2 linked regions of the Schizosaccharomyces pombe genome follow. The protein of the gene in region 1 binds, or shares a complex with, the protein of each later gene. Each region holds a gene or a part of one and is shown in the gene's direction. Other genes may lie near its edges.

Region 1 (8,218 bases):
CATCCATAGTTTCATCCTTCAAAGATTTTTCCAATTGTTTAATACGTCGTTCTGCTTTTTTACGTTCTGAGAAAATCAGTAAGCAAGTTCACTGAACAAAAAATGCTGTTTTTATATATGTTTCATACCAAAAAATCGAACTTTTTTGTATCTTTCAAAAATCTTTTGCTTTTTATGCTCTAACTGTGCCATAGACAACTGCTCTTGTAGACCCAAAAGAGCTCGTTCATGTTCAACACGAATGTTTGCAGGCAAATTCTCCTTAAAGGAAGTTAGTTTTCTTATTCATTAACATAAAAAGGAAGGTAATATTTATTACACACTGAAACCGCAGATGTTTTTAAACCAGCAAAAAAATTACACACCTTTTTCAATAATCTCTCATTGTCGCGAATTTTTTTCTTCAGCACAGAAAGTCCAGGGCCCTTAAATTTTGGCATGCTAAAACGCTCAATAAAATAGATAAATAGAAATTCAAACCATAAACAATTAGTTCTGGTGAAGAACAGTAGTAAACTTAAAGGACTGCAATTTTTACAGCTGCTAGGTTCTCAAGTGACACGTTACTTTTATATATAAGTTTAAGCTGGTAATTATGATTAAAATATTTGATTCACTCACACTTATTCAAGGTAGATTTATATGTTGTACTTGTGGAGTGATTTAAAAGCTTAGACTTTCAACAGTACATCAAAGAATCGCTTGTTCGACACCGAAGTCACCCTAGAGATTAAAAAGTATGCAAAAGATAGTTAATCTAGCAACCGGTCTGTATTTTAATACTACTATTGTTAAGAGAATCATCAATAGCAAAAAGAAAACCTTTGAATTTGACAGCCTCTTTTCAGTCCGTTGTTAAGGCATTTCTGTTAGCTATCGTTAAGCAAATTAGTGCTAAACGTTATGTTTGACGAGTGGTTGAGATTGAAGAACGCTTCGATCAAGCTCTGTTTAATGTTTATGCAGTATTTTGGGCGTTTCTGGTAAAGCCTAATTGTCAAATTTCTCTTTAGAGAATGTTAAATAGAAGTAAAAAGAGGAATGGCTGTTATTTTTGGGTTAACGGCTCCTCAGATGAGATTCGATATGTCGCCGTCAAAGCTTCCCCTAAAGTAAATTGGAAAACTCACATTATTTGGAGATCATTGAAAAATGTTAAATGTATAGACTCTTTTCACGGAAACAATGAAATATTGGGTGCTGGTTCTTCTACCGGAAATATATCATTGCTTTCTGTTAAGCATCCAGAATTTCAAGCAGTAGTAACACCTGGATATGCTCGCCCTTGCAATAGTTTGGCATTTTCTGAAACTGAACATCTTGTTGCTGGATTTGCAAAATCTCGAAACGAGTCTTCCTTGAAGTTATGGGACTTGAATTCATTACTGTCTGACCCGAAGAGTAGTCCCTTAATGCAGTCTTCTACTCTAGACGGAGTTTCTTCCGTTTGTTATAAGAAAGACACTCCTCTTTTGCTTACCGGATCAACTTCGCGTTCTGTCCATATAATTGATACTAGGCAGCAACTAGACTCAGTTTCTTCCGTCAATACGCAATATTATAGTAATATAGTTGTTGATCCATTTTCTCCTAACTATTTTGCCGCAAATTCTTATGATGGTGACATTGCGATTTTTGATACTCGATACTTCAAATCCGATAATTATTTACAAATTATTTTACGGAACGAAAATAAAAAGCCCAAAAATCCACAATTATTTGCACTGAAATATTCTGAATGGAAACCTGGACAATTGGCTGTTTTGTCAAACAATTCGATTACACTTCGTCAATTATTGCCTTGTGTCAATGGAAATGAAGGATCCGCAAATAATTCTGTCTTTGTAAATTATGAGAAGAAATATCCTGTTAAACCAAATTCACAATGTTCTGGCATTGATTTTTTTACTCCTTCTACAGCCTTTCCAACTCATGTTCAAATTTTGGGTGTCATAAACGAACAACCGAAACTTTTTTCTGTCCATGATGAGGTCATTCCCTTTTCATTTAACCCTTATAATGATTTGATATTTTCCTTCAAAGAAAAACTGTATCCTTTAAACTCTTCACCATTTAACACACTTTCTGATGTCCCACAATTTGATGTCAGCGAATTTGTCGATGAAAACTCTTTCGATTCCTCGTCTTCTTGTTCCTCCAAAGTCTTTCTAACGACAAGAAACAACTCAATCAATTCAGAGGATTCCGCTCATGAAGTATTGCTTTCCTATAACCGCGTCCTTGGATCTGATATTCAAGGGACAATACTAGATCGCGTCAAAAAGGGCTACCAATTTGATTCCCAAAAAAACTCAGAATTAGTTTCTGATTTATACTTAAAAGATCTATGGTCTTGGATTCACTTAAGCCATAGACAATCAGAAGAATCACTGTTTGGAGACACAGGAGATACAGATTTCAGCTATCAAGGTGCACTAGGTATTTGGTTTATGGATACTGAATTGACTAGCATGTCCGATGTTTTTGAAGCAAAAGAAAGCAAATTTTTAGAAAAAAAAATTTTAAGACTTGCTAGAGATGTTATTGAGAGACTTGATTTAGATATATTTACGTCTATCCAAACTAAAAGGCCTTTACGCCAACTCGCTTTACTTGCCTGTGGATTAGGAATGTCAAATGATGACTTGTTGTTGGAAATTAGAAGACTGATTCGCAAGAATGAGCATGTAAAAGCCGCTGGGTTAGCACTTTTCCACGGAAAAATTGAAAACGTAGTCCGTATATTATCAAGTGGGAATGAGCTGGAGAAGACCATATCCACAGCAGTTGCCGGATACATTACATCGCAAGGCTTAAGTAACTTTGGAAGTGACTCATTGTGGAAAGAAATGTCTCGTAACTTAAGTACAGAATTGGAAGATCCATACTTACGTGCAATATTTGCGTATGTTTCCAACTCCGATTGGAGAGATGTATTAGATGAAGTTTCTCTCTCATTAAAAGATCGTCTTGGAATTGCTCTTCGCTTTTTACCAGATGACGATTTGAGTAATTATTTGTGCGATTTATGTCACACTACAGTGCAATCAGGCGACCCAGAAGGCCTGTTACTTACAGGTTTAACTCCTTTGGGAATGGAACTTCTGCAGAACTACATTGATCATACAAGCGATGTTCAAACTGCTGCATTGATTGCTGCATTTGTGGTACCTAAGAAATTTCTGGATAAACGTGCAGAGGATTGGACTGAAAGTTATAGAGAGCTTCTAAACCGCTGGAAACTTTACCGTGAGCGTGCAAAGTTTGATATCTTTCGGACAGAACTCTCAAAAAATCACACAGGAGAAATAACCAGAAAGGCTACAGAGCCATCTATACGCATTATCTGCAATTTTTGTAGAAAACCAATTTTTCCTTTCTCCAATAGGAATGAATGTAATAATTTACCAACGCCAATTCAACGAGGTGTCAGTAAAGCAGGCCCAGCAAAACACTTGGGAAAAAGTTGTCCTCATTGCGGACAGCCTCTTCCAAAGTGCTCTGTATGTGGGTTTTCTTTAGGAGATGAAGATGTTCCTCAGAAAGATGACTTTTCTCAAAAACCTCAAAACTATGTCAAAGAAGTTAATCTTCAGAAATCTAGATTTGGGTTATGGTTTAGCTTTTGTCTAAATTGTGGCCATGGAGCTCACGCATCTCATGCTTCAGAATGGTTTTCAACTCATACAATATGTCCGGTTCCTAACTGTGATTGTGAATGCAAACTGAAATAGAAATTGCAAATGAGAGCATTAATTAATAGCATTAAAATAACAGTTTATGGTTTGGTTCACAAGTAATAATTGCTACATGAGTGAATATAAAATCCATGATTACAGCTTAAAAATGTTTAAGGCTAAGAGGTTTAAAGCATAAGGTCTTTAATACTATGATTTGTTTAAAAATTCGACATAGCTATCTACATTTGTAATTGTTTGATAATACCAACGTGGTTAGTTTTATTACTGAAAAGGGATTAACGCAAGATCGTTAATATTTAATTTTCTAGTAGCAAGAAGCGTCTTCTAGCTTAGCAACTTGGTAATTTTAACCGGTGGTACTGGTATTGAAGAAATACATATTTAATTTTTTGTGTAAATTAATTTGGCCTTAGTAAAGATATCCAAAGTGGGTTGTATACGGGCATTCGCATTTAACGTAATCGGCTCATCTCGTAAATTACCATATGTTTCCCGTTAACCCACGTAATTCGACATCGGTGACCGTTGCGAGACGATATTAAGAGTTTCAACTGGAACCAACTTCTCTTTCGCTTACCTTTTCATAAAATAATAGCAATGGCTTCGTTTAATGTTCCCATTATAATGGACAAGTAAGTATTGATGTAGCGAAGTTAAATTGTTCGTGAATATCAGTTACTAACTTTATTTGTTAGCGGTACCGGCTATAGCAAGCTTGGGTATGTGTAATAGTCGTTTTAGGATGTTATTATCTCTCTTTTGAGCATTTATTAACAGTAATTTAATTTCAGCTATGCTGGGAACGATGCTCCTTCTTATGTATTCCCCACTGTTATTGCGACGCGTTCTGCGGGTGCTTCTTCAGGGCCGGCTGTTTCATCAAAGCCTTCTTACATGGCCTCGAAAGGCAGTGGGCATCTCTCAAGCAAAAGGGCAACTGAGGACTTGGACTTTTTTATTGGAAACGATGCATTGAAAAAGGCGTCTGCTGGATATTCTTTGGACTATCCTATCCGTCATGGACAAATAGAAAATTGGGACCATATGGAGCGTTTTTGGCAACAGTCTCTCTTTAAATATTTACGTTGTGAACCAGAGGACCATTATTTTCTTTTGACCGAACCTCCTTTGAATCCACCTGAAAACCGTGAAAATACTGCAGAGATTATGTTTGAGTCGTTCAACTGTGCAGGACTCTACATTGCTGTTCAAGCGGTTTTGGCTCTTGCCGCCTCTTGGACATCTTCAAAAGTTACTGATCGTTCGTTGACCGGTACTGTTGTTGACTCTGGTGATGGCGTTACTCATATTATTCCTGTTGTATGTATAAAAAATCTAATACGAGCTTAGATAAACAGTTTTGAACATTAAATGCATATATATATGCCCGAATTTTACTAACTGATAAACCTTAGGCCGAAGGATATGTTATCGGCTCTTCCATTAAGACAATGCCACTTGCTGGTCGTGATGTTACGTACTTTGTTCAATCCTTATTACGTGACCGCAATGAACCTGATTCAAGTCTCAAAACTGCTGAAAGAATTAAAGAGGAATGTTGCTACGTTTGTCCGGACATTGTTAAGGAGTTTAGTAGATTTGATCGTGAGCCCGACCGTTATTTAAAATATGCATCTGAATCAATTACTGGACACTCTACTACTATTGATGTAGGATTTGAACGCTTCCTCGCACCTGAAATATTTTTTAATCCTGAGATTGCTTCTTCCGATTTTTTGACCCCTCTTCCGGAACTTGTGGACAACGTCGTACAGAGCTCACCCATTGACGTTCGTAAAGGCCTTTATAAAAACATTGTCCTTTCTGGTGGTAGTACTTTGTTTAAGAACTTTGGCAACCGCTTACAAAGAGATCTCAAGCGGATTGTTGACGAGCGTATTCACCGCAGTGAAATGCTCTCCGGTGCTAAAAGTGGTGGTGTAGACGTTAATGTTATCTCCCATAAACGTCAACGAAATGCGGTTTGGTTTGGCGGCAGTTTACTAGCACAAACGGTATGTCATTATCTTATGTTTGTATATTTTTTAGTTTACCCGTAGAGATTTACTGACATGTTTAGCCTGAATTCGGATCCTATTGCCATACCAAAGCAGATTACGAAGAATATGGTGCTTCCATTGCTCGTAGGTACCAAATTTTTGGAAATTCTCTTTAATGAAATATATCATGAGTTTTGCGTCTATAGGATTTACTGATTAAAATGAAAAGTTTAATGGAGCAGGCATTAGCCTTAGAAGAAATAGACTTGAGGTTTGCTATGTTTCCAGGCTTTTTCATTGAGCAATATCAAATAAGATGTATATAATTAACTTGTCCAAATAATAATGATGAGAACCATGAGAATAATAATATAGTGATTACTAATAACGTAAAAGGAGAAAAAAAAAGAAAACGGATGAAACCGATGGGTTCCGCCTGATAAATACTTTATTATTCAAGAACGATGGATAAAATGGAAAGTGTACAAGTACTCAACGAATTTGTTGAGAGAAAGCAGAAGCAATCAAGTAGTCATCATAAAAAAAACTAAACTTCATCATTTTGCGGAGCAGGTAATGATTCATAAGAAGGTGGGCGTTCAATTGCACCGGCAACAGATGGAACGTCGCCGACAAATTCACCATTTTCATCAAATATTGCGGGCGGGGGAGGTGTGCTTGTGGTGGGTAAAGTTTTCAAGTACTGCTGGTTAAGAGCAGTAATAGGTTCATAAAGAGGGAGGCAATCAGTCTGTCGAACATGATGTTCGAATTGTTGTGATGCTCCGGAAGAAGAGCGCTCTCTCCTGTGAATTGAGTGTTGTGTTCTCTGCTGTTCCCGTGCAGAAATTATGGTTCGACACGCTTTAATTCTTTCATGATGCAACATAAATATGACAAACACAACGCAGATTATCCCAAACGTTAATACCAACACTTTTCCCCAGAACTGGGAGTAAGGGTCATACGGGATATCTGAAGCATCTGATGTTGAAACCAATTGATCATTAGCCATCACAAGGTCTATGGCTGATATTTCTTCCCCCATTTTTGTTTGATTATAATTTTGAACGTGTAGTGTTCCCAGTAGAATTTCAATTGCCACGGCTCAATTAAGACTGAACGTCAGAAATTTACAACAATCCAGTGAACTCACTGATATAGCAAGGCAATTATTATTCTTCCAATTTAATTTTACTCAATTACTTTGAGGTTTGTAAAAGTGAGGTTAAAACTGTTGTAAAAAACAAAGATAAGCCATAAAGCTTCCCGTCTCCTTCCCCAGAGTCTGGATTTTTTTGCGATATTTACGGTACGATACGGCAGTCACCGGAAGCATCCAAAAGCTGACCATGTATAATTATATGCTTTGATTTCAGATCATCCGTGCGCCTATGTATTAACTGTGTTGTATAAATTTATTTCACAATCGGCAAATTAGTTATGAATTAATTACTTTTGGTATTTCTGCTCTTGGTTATGCAGCGTAAGTGAATTTGACGATCTCCGTTTAAATAATGAGCTACTACGAGGTGATCGTTAAATTGTAAACAAAAGATTGGTTTAGTATGTCGCTTGAATGGAAACTGCAAAGTTTTTAATTAGAGATTCATCTGTTTCATCTAAATCTAAAGCAATTAATTTTTCATCTCTTCAGTTGTTCTTTTTAATAGAGTAGTTGAGGTGGATAAATGTTTATTCAAATTTTTGTTATTCGGATTATTTCGTACAGGAGAAGCTATCACAAAGGTCAAAGCCATAATATATTTAATAATTTATTGTAAAGAGAAAAATAATTATCAGAAAATTCAACATATTCAATTTAAGGTCAAGCACACTGGTGTCCGCTAATGCGTTTACTATACTAAGCCCTCTGCTTGCTTACGTGCATCGCCACTACCTAGCTATAGGTGCTTGTTGCAAGACAACAAAGTCTCGTACCTTTGCAGCGTTAAACGATTTTTAGCAATTTCCTCTTTCTTTAAAATTTGGAATTAACTGATTGTTTTCTATTCCTGTAATGACAACGCTGGAATCTCTGGATATGCCAGAGATGACAGAGGTCGAAGATGATACAGTCGACATACACATCGACAATTCGAAGGTCGCTCTCCTTTTCTCTAAAAGCAAGGTGTTTGTTCATCCCACATCGAAAATGAAGGATAACATATCTGGCTATTTGTCCTTGTCTAAGTCAAAGGCGCTAGGAAATTCATCAGTGGCCGGAAGCGATATTTTGTTATCATGGGTTCCTGATTCGTTTTTAAAAAATCGTCCCAGGGATCTTTCCGTATTTCAAAATGCGGAAACCCTTTCAAACGGTTCTATTAGAGAATGGGTAGAGATTCCTCAGCATTTGGACTACTCTTTTTCTGTACGATTGTGCAGCATTTATTCAATTATATTTCGACCTCCTAGATATGGATGGAATTATGGTAGTATAGTGATTAATTTGAGAGACAGTGGTGAGAGCCTCCCTCCTCTTTTTTTTCATGATGATGAATGTATTAGTACTAT
Region 2 (3,272 bases), on another chromosome or scaffold:
TTTTGAATGGGAATAACACCTGACAGAGCTTGCATTACTACTTCAAAGTCTGCATCAATTAGCGTGTCCCACATTCCTTGTATAACCGCAAGAGAAGTGGCTTGCAATAACCTGACAGTTTGACCTTTGCTTCCACCTAATAAAAACAGGAGATCCCATATACGTAATTGAGTATGGAAGGGCACGCATTGATGAAAAACAGTGAGATACCAACGTGTAGCAAAAGCAGATGGTTCTGCTCCAATTTCCGCCAGATGTCTGCCTGATTGTGTAAAACTTAACTCATGCTTAAGCATGTCAAAAGCCTTTAAAAGTGTATCAAACCCGGAAGAAAACAAGTCCCCCATGCCTCTATTTTCCAATAAATTTACCATCATTATAAATGCTTGTTCTTCGGGATAGTAAATGAGCAAGGTCGCAGCAATAGAAGCCATTCCTTGAACGTATCCAACACGAGGTATATAGAGAGCTACAGCATGAAGAACTCTAAATAGTAAACGTTGCCCTCCAATGTAGCGTTTTCGGAATAAGAAATGTGTAGCAGCTGTTCTGGGAACATCTAGGTCAATTTGAACATCATAGTCACAAATCTGCTCGTTCAATTGGTAATACTTGTCAATCAGTTTTTTATCAGGAAGAGAATCCACAAGAAAGGACCACCACGCAATAGATCGCCAACAATCTGGAATCCCCTTAAATGTACGTAAAATTAACTTACGAGTTTTTCGAAAAGAATGGAGCTGATTACCGGAAACGAGGTGTATTGAACACATCGATTTCCATTTTTGAATACGGGAAAGCTCTTTAGCTGATATTTCGTTGCGGTCATGCGACTCGCCGGGAACAACCATGAAGATGCTTTCATCAACGTACTTCAGCATGTCATCATGGCCGATTAATTTATTGCCAAGACGTTTGGCAGGGTTTGGTTTATCTAATGTTGGGTCTTTACTAACTTTATAGAACCCTAAATTATTAACATTAAAGTCTGAGCGATAGTTTCCGTAACGATCCACATTTTCCAATGACTCTTTTGTATCGATTTCTTGAACTTTTCCATTAATAGGTTCTGGTATATTTAAATTATTCTTGTCTTCTTGTAACCTGTACAACGACCGAATTCGTTGCAAATTGGTTGTTCTAGTTGGGGAAGGGTTTTCCATGCTCTTTCAGATATATCCTCAATTCCGTCACTCTGGAGAAAACAGATTACCTACTAAACTGTATTAAAATATCCAACACAGAAAGATTTAACAGGGGGGAATTGTTTCCGATGTAGTAATGTTTACGGTCCCAAAAGACCGTCTATCCCCATATAAGTCAGTACGTTAGATCCCAAAATCAAAATAACCAAACATGAAAATCTTTTTTTGACGTTTTTATAATTTTTCAAGCAATAAATGCATTCGTGCAAATGCTTATGAATTTGGTTCTCGCTACAAATTTATTGGCTCTATGTCATTTCCATTGATGAAAACTAGTTATAAAGTAGAGACCGAGACCCGATCACAAAACAAAAAAACGACACGCTATATTGCTTTACTGTAATTACATAGCTTTTCGCTATTTTGTTTAAAGAAAAGCTAATTTATCACTATTGATGCTTGACGAAATGCTCCCTATCGGCACATTCAGCAGGTGCTCAAGTTATCCAACAACATCATAAGCACTAGACATTAGATATGCCGGTATGTTCTAAAGTTTTGAATTTTTGTTGCTGACATGTTATGAAAGGCCTATCATTCCTCCTTCTTAAGTCTTACGGACGTCCCTACCACGGGAAACATAGCAATGCTGCCGTTGAAAACCAAGTTTCGTGGACCGGCTTATCCTGGTATGTTCCAGATATTTGTCAACTCTGTTTAAAGACTATTCTTAATGTTATTAGAGTACTTTCTAACATTTTTTATACAGCTGATGAGAGTCAAATGGATATTATTGATGAATGCATTGGGCTGTTTCGCGCCAATTGTTTCTTCCGCAATTTTGAGATTAAGGGACCAGCAGACCGTACTTTAATTTATGGAACATTATTTATCAGTGAGTGCTTGGGAAGAGTTAATGGACTCAATTATCGTGATGCTGAACGTCAACTTAATAGTTTAGCGTTGGAGAATTTTTCTATTCCTGGCTCTGCTGGCTTTCCCTTGAATGCATTATATGCTCCTCCCCTTTCTCCTCAAGATGCTGGTAAGATTCACCCAAACTGTGGCATTAGACATATAGATGTTTGTGCCGCTAATAGCTTTCTTGCTTTTTTTTTCATTTGCTAACTATTAAAAAAAGAAATAATGCGTACATATCTTACTCAATTTCGTCAGGAACTTGCTTATCGTCTTTTGTCCCATGTATATGCAACTGAAAAGGATCATCCCAGCAAGTGGTGGACTTGCTTCAGCAAGAGACGTTTTATGAACAAAGCTTTGTGAGTCTATTAATTAATAATTTGGCTCATACTGTATTTCAAAGCCTTTATGTTTTTCCGTTTCCTTTATTTCAAATGCGGCTTATAAAGTTTTTGAAGCGTACGAATGGCTTATTTAATGTAGGCAGTTTTATACGTAGATAGTAGATGCAAAAATAATCGCTTTACTTTCATGTACAAGTTATCAATTAGCTTTGTTAATTATGCTAAAGGAATATTTGAATGATTAAAGTCGTAATATTCAATGTTGGTTCAAAAATTTTTATTGAAATCGTAATTTTGATTTTTGCAAACGGCAGACCCAATAATGAGGATGGTATATCCATTCAAGCATACTTCGTTTGTCCCCCATATAAGTCGTGTCGACCGAATTGTGCTTTAAAACCTCAAATCCCATACTATCCATCACGTAAAACAGCTGCTCGAGAGTCAATTCAACGAAAGGTTGTTGCTGGCTATCACTGTTAGAATTAGAAGTACCTTCTGACTCAAAATGATACAATAAAGGCCCGAGATTTATCCAATAACCTCCATCTACCAAACAGTTTTTAATTGTATCCAAATAGTCCAGTATGTTTTTTGTAGTGTCTATAAAGAAGCAGGTAGCTACTACTTGAAACGAATCACGACTTTCTTCGGTGCCGTATACCTCCAGGAAATCCCCGGCTGCCATTGAAAAGTTTTGTGAATTCCGCAGATATTGAGAGGGAACTGCATCAGGAATATTTAATGAACGCACCTGGTCATCACGCATGACATGGTTCGAAAATGAATGAATATAAGGATACACAAGAAACTGATTTTCCTGCTTTACGCAATTCAGTATGAAATGCGACGTTAAAAGCAT

What was found.
Region 2: the proteins of arp3 (region 1) and arc3 are in contact, whole or in part, in a crystal structure (PDB 3DWL), measured with the Schizosaccharomyces pombe proteins. Residues at the interface, in NP_592898.1 of Schizosaccharomyces pombe: Phe219 (codon at 5,183), Ser222 (codon at 5,192), Leu223 (codon at 5,195), Ile251 (codon at 5,279), Val252 (codon at 5,282), Leu266 (codon at 5,324), Asp281 (codon at 5,369), Val282 (codon at 5,372), Gly283 (codon at 5,375), Phe284 (codon at 5,378), Leu288 (codon at 5,390), Glu297 (codon at 5,417), Ile298 (codon at 5,420); in NP_596291.1 of Schizosaccharomyces pombe: Gly49 (codon at 1,953), Leu50 (codon at 1,956), Ala53 (codon at 1,965), Phe56 (codon at 1,974), Phe57 (codon at 1,977), Asn59 (codon at 1,983), Trp160 (codon at 2,382), Arg167 (codon at 2,403).

Annotation. Positions count from the first base shown.
Region 1 is NC_003424.3:346,179-354,396, forward strand, and holds arp3 (ARP2/3 actin-organizing complex actin-related protein subunit Arp3), read left to right. Parts: upstream 1-4,254; 5' UTR 4,255-4,298; coding exon 4,299-4,333; exon of another isoform or gene 4,334-4,396; coding exon 4,397-4,420; exon of another isoform or gene 4,421-4,492; coding exon 4,493-5,021; exon of another isoform or gene 5,022-5,116; coding exon 5,117-5,716; exon of another isoform or gene 5,717-5,781; coding exon 5,782-5,877; 3' UTR 5,878-6,118; downstream 6,119-8,218. Other genes in the region: efg1 (rRNA-processing protein), read right to left, coding at 1-66, 129-261, 366-440; GATOR2-SEACAT complex ubiquitin-protein ligase E3 subunit Sea4, read left to right, coding at 1,017-3,734; SPOM_SPAC630.04C (uncharacterized protein), read right to left, coding at 6,249-6,749; GTPase-activating protein Gyp7, read left to right, coding at 7,722-8,218. UniProt on the Schizosaccharomyces pombe protein: Functions as ATP-binding component of the Arp2/3 complex which is involved in regulation of actin polymerization and together with an activating nucleation-promoting factor (NPF) mediates the formation of branched actin networks.
Region 2 is NC_003423.3:3,110,615-3,113,886, reverse strand, and holds arc3 (ARP2/3 actin-organizing complex subunit Arc21), read left to right. Parts: upstream 1-1,649; 5' UTR 1,650-1,682; coding exon 1,683-1,688; exon of another isoform or gene 1,689-1,734; coding exon 1,735-1,834; exon of another isoform or gene 1,835-1,914; coding exon 1,915-2,190; exon of another isoform or gene 2,191-2,286; coding exon 2,287-2,429; 3' UTR 2,430-2,687; downstream 2,688-3,272. Other genes in the region: SPOM_SPBC1778.09 (GTPase-activating protein), read right to left, coding at 1-1,163; SPOM_SPBC1778.07 (carnosine N-methyltransferase), read right to left, coding at 2,688-3,272. UniProt on the Schizosaccharomyces pombe protein: Functions as a component of the Arp2/3 complex which is involved in regulation of actin polymerization and together with an activating nucleation-promoting factor (NPF) mediates the formation of branched actin networks.